Linked DNA regions of Nothobranchius furzeri. The protein of the gene in region 1 interacts with the protein of each later gene in a pairwise test. Links are inferred from orthologs where the notes say so. Each region holds a gene or a part of one and is shown on either strand. Other genes may lie near its edges.

Region 1 (3,564 bases):
TCATTAATGGGGCCTTCGATTTCTTCTTCACAGGGATTTGCACAGTCTCATGTCTAAATGAACACTCTTCTGCTTATTGCCCAGGCTAAAGTTAAACCCAACAAGGACAAAAACAAAACCTACACTGTCACTTATGTTCCAAAGGTTGAGGGCGTCCACAAGGTAAAACAAACAAACAACCACGATGAATAACATAAACTCTTGGTTTAAAACCCAATTTTTTTTATCTTATATTTTATTTTTATGTCAACTTTAGGTGAAGGTGCTGTTTGCAGGTCAGGACACTGATAAGAGCCCCTACACTGTCAACGTGGCAAAGGTGATGGGTGACCCGAGTAAAGTTCACGCTAGGGGACCGGGTCTGGATCCAACAGGCAACATAGCCAACAAACCCACCTACTTTGACATCTATACAGCTGGTGAGTTGGGATGAAACTTCAGCCACTTTGTTGATCAAAGAGGTTTTCCTATTTCAAAATAAACAAAATTATCTTAGTAGCCCTCACATGGTGTCATAGACTCCAAACATTTAAGGAATGCTCGTTGATATAGGCTTATTTTATCGACATCAGACACACCAAATAGTTTGACTCCTAATTTCCATACCGATATATCCCTCTCATAAAAAAACAGAAAAGCTAAAACATTTTAGGTTACTAATACCACATTTTTCCGATTGTGCATGCTTAAATATAAACCTTTTCTGACAGCTACTTCTTGTTTTTGTTCTAGTATATTGTTAGCTGTTTAGCTACATGTAGCTACGTGCTGTGAGGACAACATACGCTCACTGCACAGGGCAAATTCCTACTTCACAAGTTGTGTCACATGAACTAAAATATCAAAACTTTACCACAGATCTGTCAACTTTTTACATTTCAGGAGAGGAGAAGTAGTTGAAGAGTTTGATATATAACACATGTATGGTGTATAAACGCTGTACCATTAAAATTAAAACCGATATTTTACCATACATTTTGGTGCTGATATCAGCCTATATTAATGGTAGACCGATGATATCAAATATCCATAGACTTATTACAAGTCTGATGCTTAAGAATGAACTTGATTCTGTATTTTGTTCAGGTGCTGGTCATGGTGACATCAGTGTGGTCATCATTGATCCTCAGGGCAAAAAAGACACAGTGGAGCTCATCCTGGAGAATAAGGGTGACAGTGTCTTCCGCTGCACCTACTGTCCTGTGCAGGAAGGCCCTCACAAAATCCACATCCTGTTTGCAGGCCAGGAGATCCCCAAGAGTCCTTACACTGTCAACATTGCAGAGGGTGAGCCATCTGTCTGTGTTGTAAATAACTGTCAGACAAATCTGATTTCCTAGCGTGCTGTTAGTGTCGGGGTGATCTATCCATCACAATCTACAGCCATCTTTATTTTGCCTAGGAACAGCCACCGCTTTCCACTCCATAACCACCCCTATCTGTCATTTCTAGCTCCAGCAGTTGCTCCTCCCACGGGAGCGCCACTGCAAATAGCTCCTCAGTCAGTGCTCACCCCTCCGGGAGTGAAGGGTGGCAAGGGGGCTCCCCCACCAAAACCTGGCCGTCCAAGTTAGTACATATCTGTTAGGAGGAGCTTGTTGGATCATTCCAGTGCCTATCCTTCCTGTGCCAGACCTCTGCACATGCTCCTGTTTGCTTTAAGTTGACGTTCTGGTGGTTAAAATGCCGTGCTTGGTCGCCTGCTCCGCTCTTTTTTACTGCTCGATGGTTTAGTTGTGCTCAGTGAGAGACGAGATGTGATGTGTACATATAGACTGTTCCAGTTTGCTTTCCTGTCAGTTTGTGTTTCTTTTTATCCTTTCTGTTGAATATCTTTGCTTGTGCTCTTTGACACGTTTGTTTTTCATGAAGTTTAAATTTGCATCAGCCAGCACTTAGTTTAAAGCCTGCCCTCAACATTTTCTGACTGACTGAAATGTTGTCGGACGTGCCCTTGTTGCACTGCACTGTGAATTGTTCAGCGTTGTGTATCTGCAGTATGTTCTTCTAAAAGGATTATCTGCAGGTTCTGTCTGGAGTCCTTTGTGAAGTGGATTTAGTTACTAACTTTTCTGTAAAGTTCTGGCTACTCTCTTCTTTTTCATTTCTTTATTTTTGCTCTTTGAAATCAATTTCTCTTTCATACTTTTTTTCTTGTAGCCATAAACCCAAATGCTTGCAGAGCTACTGGCAGAGGGCTACAGCCTAAAGGCGTGAGAGTGAAGGAGGTTGCAGACTTCAAAGTTTTCACCAAAGGAGCTGGCAGCGGTGCACTAAACGTCTCCGTCAAAGGACCGAGTGAGTCAGACAGCTCTCTCTCTCCTCTCTGCATCAGTCCTCGCTCCTTTTTGTACAGTGAAAAATAAAAAGTATTTCCTGTGTTTTAGCTTTTGTGTCAACATGCATTACTTACATATGTATACAAACCAAATAAGCGGGATATGCTGATAAGAATCAGTGCTGACAATATTATTCCTCCTCAGCTGGAGCAGAGGAGCATGTGAAAGTGCAAGATGCAGGAAATGGAGTGTATGAATGTGAATATTACCCACTTAAGGCGGGTAAATACACAGTGAGCATCACCTGGGGAGGCCAGCCAATTCCGCGCAGGTAGGGTCCTCAAATCCCCTCCACAGGGTTCTTGAAATCCTTGCAGGTGCTAGAATTTAATGTGATATTTTATAAGTTTTGGTTATGGCTCAACCTTTTCTCCTATGTAACAAGGAAGTGTAATAATCTTGTTATGAGTGCTTGAAAAAGACTTTTGTGTTGGCAAATGTATAAGAAACCCTGGCTTTAGCTGCTCTTTTTGATATTCATGCCCACTAACATTAATGTGCGTTACAGCCCCTTTGAGGTGGAGGTAGGTGAAGAAGCTGGCGTTCAGAAGGTGAGGGCCTGGGGTCCTGGTCTGAAGACCGGCATGGTGGGAAAATCTGCAGATTTTGTGGTTGAGGCAATCGGCACTGAAGTTGGAACTCTGGGTGAGATTTTTTACAAGAGAAATAAAACAACTGTATTTCTAACCCTTTAACTTCCACACCAGGATAAAGCCTATCAGTTAAAAAGTTAAACGTGATGATTTTGCTCTCCAGGCTTTTCCATCGAAGGCCCATCCCAGGCTAAGATTGAGTGTGACGATAAGGGTGACGGCTCCTGTGATGTGCGCTACTGGCCCACTGAGCCTGGTGACTACGCTGTCCATGTCATCTGTGATGACGAAGACATCAAGGATAGTCCTTTCATGGCTCACATTCTGCCAGCTGTAAATGGTGTCTTCCCTGAGAAAGTAATTTCCAGTTATTTTTGTTTGGAAAAATATTTTTTTTAGCAGCAATCTAAACAGATTTTTCACAGGTAAAAGCCTACGGGCCAGGCTTGCTGCCGACTGGTGTCACTGTAAACAAACCGACTGAATTCACCATTGATGCCCGCATGGCTGGCAAGGGTCATCTCAAGATCTACGCTCAGGTATGAGCTGGACAAGTTTGTAGAGTCTTCATTCTTTATTTATAGGAATAAACCATTTATATTGCATGAAGCTGCACAGAGCAGAACAGAGCA
Region 2 (4,187 bases), on another chromosome or scaffold:
ATCAGAATAATAATACTCCTAATCCTAATCATTCACATCACACCTCTAAAACTAACCAGTAAAGCTCTGTAACATTGTCCCAAAGTGAGTACCAGCAAAATGTCCTCACTTTGCTTCTAATGTCCTCAGTTTGCAGGTAAAAAACTTGTTTAGGTCCTCACTTTGATGTACAGGCCGGTGTCGGTACAGGATCTGCTCGGGTGCAGGATCGGCTCGGGGTCCTTCGACTGCCGATGACGTCACACGACTGCAAATCTACTCGGCTTTCACACATACGTTTTGGAAAGACATCAGCAGTTTTGTTAATAAATTCTTGTTGGTTAACACCTAAATGTTTCTTTACAATTGTAATTTGTTAATAAAACACCATATTACCTTTGTTTTGTAAAGAATGTGAAACTGCATAAAACCAGCATCAGACTGACAAAAAATAGAACAGTTCTTATGTCAGCCATATCTGTTTGTATTAATGTGGAGTTCGTCTGTATATTTCCTTACTTGTTATCTAAATACATTATTTGACTCAAAACATTGCTTGGTGTCAATCAATGAAGTTCTTGTATTTTATTTTGCCCCATTTCATCAACATCAAGAGCTTTTGAGGGTCACTGTTTATCATTTGCTTATATTTTACATTTCCTTTAGAAATTCAAACATATTTTCGCCAAAAAGTGTTGATTTTTGGACTACAGGACTACAGCCGCTAAGACTACGACCGCAAATTTGTTCTGACCAATCAAAATCATAACGTGATAACGTAACTTCCGTAAGCTTCATGTTCAGCTAATCAACTACTTTGACGTCATCGCGAGTCGAAGGGCCCCAAGCTGATCCTGTACCGACACCGGTACACACACACACACACACACACACACACACACACACACACACACACACACACACACACACACACACACACACACACACACACTTGTCTCTGTATCCTTGTGTGGACCCTCCATTGACTTCCATTCATTTCTGGGACTCCACTATGCCTTACCCATACTCTAGCCCTAACCTTAACCATAGTGCGCACACACACACACACACACACACACACACACACACACACACACACACACACACACACACACACACACACACACACACACACACACAAACACACACACACTCTCACACACACACACTCACACACACCTCTCCTTGTCTTGCTCTGTGCCCTGAACACACCAAAAGTCCTGTGAGGTTGAGGTTGTCTGATGACTAGGTTCTGTTCCCCTCATTCATTCCTACTAAATATAGGCTTTAGAGCCATCTGTGAGAATGATTTTGTTCCCTTAATATCACCATCAGCAATTTCAGCTGGCCAAGAGAGACTTCTAATGACTTCTGCCTCCTCCTCCTCCTCTTGGTCTTGACACCAAAATTCCTGCCACACACACACCCAACCTTTTGGAAGATCTCCTCTCCGAGGGTTGGGTAGGTTCTGCACTTCCCGGGATCTGAGTCCAGCCATACGTAGGGTCTGAGGCACTGAGGGATTCCTACACCGGTGATCAAGATCAATATCTTCCTCACGGTTTTGGTATTTATAGTTCCTTCTGACCTCGCCCGGATCACAACAGAAAGCCGGTGAGTGGATCTGAACACAGTTGTCAGTCGTTTGATTTCAACTCTGCATACAGCAAAGGTGAACAACATTTGAAGATTTGGCTATTTTATTGCACAATCAGAAATTCACTGGGATGTGCAGATAAAGTGGATGAATCATTAAAAAAATTGTTCAAGCAAAAAAAAAAAAGATAGAAACTGATTAGAAAATTTTTACATCCATGTGTGTGTGTGTGTTTTAAAAACACGTAATGAAAGTGTAAATGTGCTGACTGTTCTTTTTAGTGCTGCAGAGGTTTAATACGGTGTTATCAGACCCTTAGAGGGGGTGGGGGTAAATCTGAGCATACCGTTCTCTTGCCTTGGGATTATTTAACAGAATTAAAACAGCTTCAGAAATCCTCATTATCATCACCCAATTCAGCTCTCAATCCTGTTGACACACGTGTGTAATTAACACTTTTCTGGAGGTGTGTTTTGTGCTCTTAAGAGTCCTTTTGAGCTCATTTGACACTCGAATGACGCCATTGCGTGTCGCTAAAATGTCTTGGCTGGAAGTGGCTTTTAAAAATAGCTGGGGTGGGTTAAGTTACAGCCACTGGATGCGATGTTTTGCCACTTGACTGGGCCTTAAAGACAATCTCCAGATTGAATCTGCAAATATTAGTTGTCAAAGAACAGAAACATATTGATGTAATTCCACAAATTTAAAGATGCATTTCATTGCCAACATGCCAAGCGTGTCAGTAGATGCTGATGTGTTTGAAGCTTGCACATTACTTGACATCTGAGACGCAGGGAAGGATTTCTCCTCATTACTAGACACAAACTGGAGATTATGACGCCTAATTTTAATATAGAGCAGATGAGCAGGATTTGTCTAAACCATCTGTTTATGCTGGCTCTTTCTGTTTACAGATCTCGTGTCAACAAACAAAACTGAAGCAGTGAGCTATAGGTTTCCTTTGACGAAGGCATTTCATCCACGGGGGAATGTGGGGAATCCGGGGGCACCGACACCCCACCCTGAAGATGAAAAATTAGGAGGGTCTGAGGTGTCTGTACATTTAGGTTCAGAGATTAATGCTGGGTGGGAGTGTCGGTGTTGTGGAGTTATCTTGATAGGTTCATGCAAATTAGCTCTGAACTGAAACGAAAACATCCTGCTGGTGTGTTCTATACCACAGACACCATATTTTAGCTCATTTAACACGGTGCAAATTTTTGCAAGCTCATTAAGAAAAAAATAAGTTTTATCCTTTTTCTGGCTTTACATTGCAACTCGTACCTTGTCGTTTTCCATTAATTATCCAGAAGTGTGAAACATTTCTTGAAGTTATTGTTTTAACCCTCCCACTGTCTTTATGAGTGACCCCGCGGGGTGGCAGGGGTGAGGTGGTGCTCACTCCTCAACCCTGCCACATGGACCCAAGGAATAAACCATCAACTCTGCTCAATGGCCAACTTTCCCTGCAGGGTCACACCTATTAGGACAGTGGGAGGGTTAATGTTCTTTAAATTTACAATATTCTCTTTTGATGAGGAAAAAAAACTGAATGCAGGTTTGCTGTTTTGTGTTTCTGTACCTGGGAATAACATTGTATATTTTTCTTCCCGACCCTCCAGTCATGCCTCTGGGAACACCTGCCCCCCTAAACAAGCGGAAAAAGCCCTCCAAGATCATAACTGACCTATCACATATCAGCCAGATTGGTAAGGCAGGAAGTGAAATTATGCAAATATGAAATTACCATTTCTCAGTACAACTCTTTCTTATAAATGCTGCACCGAAATACATGGGTGGAAAGCGATAGGTGCTCAACGACGTCACTTTGTTGTTGAGCATTAGTAGTCCTGGACATAATTTCACACAAAACCTAAAATCCCCCCCCCCCCCCCCCCCCCCCAATTCAAAAATAAGCGCGTAATTGGTATCAAATTGTCTCTTTAAAGTTCACGGACATCATATGTGAAATCCATGGCACATAATAAATAGAATTAGAAGATAAAGTTTTTAGCCACGCTGACTTGCATTCTTTTTTCATTCCTTCGAGGACACATAGCCAGGGAGTAGATGGGCATGACTTAGGCTCCTTATCCCCCATACAACACGTGTGCTTCAAGGCATATGTGGCATTGCCGCCACATTGGGTAGGATCCTCACTTTCCAAACTCACTTGTCAATGCAGGGCGGACAACTATGCCTCTTTTTTTCATGGCCTACAGTTGCAACAACCAGTGCACTATTGTGAACAGATCACGTGGGATTACTTAAGACTTTTTTAGCCTACCTGTTGGGATTTTATATTTTAATGTCCATCCATTTTCTTCTGCTTTTCTGGAGTCGGGTAGCAGGGGCAGTAGCCTAAGGCGAGAGGCCCAGACTTCCCTTTCCCCAGCCACTTGGGCCAGCTCCTCCGGGGAAATCCCAAGGCATTCCCTGGCCAGGTGAGAGACATAGTCCCTCCACCGTGTCCTGGGTCTACCTTTAGGTCTCCTCCCGGTTGGACGTGCCCGGAAAACCTCACCAGGGAGGCGTCCAGGAGGCAACCTGACCAGATGCCCGAGCTACCTCAACTGGCTCCTCTCGATGTGGAGGAACAGCGGGTCTACTC

What was found. The genes of interacting proteins can lie anywhere in the genome.
Region 2: the proteins of filamin-C (region 1) and myoz1a interact in a two-hybrid assay, tested with the Homo sapiens proteins (2 studies listed by BioGRID and IntAct). The link is inferred for Nothobranchius furzeri from reciprocal best matches to the Homo sapiens genes FLNC and MYOZ1.

Annotation. Positions count from the first base shown.
Region 1 is NC_091744.1:62,143,162-62,146,725, forward strand, and holds part of filamin-C, read left to right. Parts: intron 1-84; coding exon 85-162; intron 163-256; coding exon 257-419; intron 420-1,086; coding exon 1,087-1,287; intron 1,288-1,452; coding exon 1,453-1,569; intron 1,570-2,160; coding exon 2,161-2,298; intron 2,299-2,483; coding exon 2,484-2,610; intron 2,611-2,847; coding exon 2,848-2,984; intron 2,985-3,095; coding exon 3,096-3,289; intron 3,290-3,357; coding exon 3,358-3,471; intron 3,472-3,564.
Region 2 is NC_091752.1:26,534,062-26,538,248, forward strand, and holds the start of myoz1a (myozenin-1a), read left to right. Parts: upstream 1-1,365; 5' UTR 1,366-1,593; intron 1,594-3,198; 5' UTR 3,199-3,200; coding exon 3,201-3,285; intron 3,286-4,187. UniProt on the Homo sapiens protein: Myozenins may serve as intracellular binding proteins involved in linking Z-disk proteins such as alpha-actinin, gamma-filamin, TCAP/telethonin, LDB3/ZASP and localizing calcineurin signaling to the sarcomere.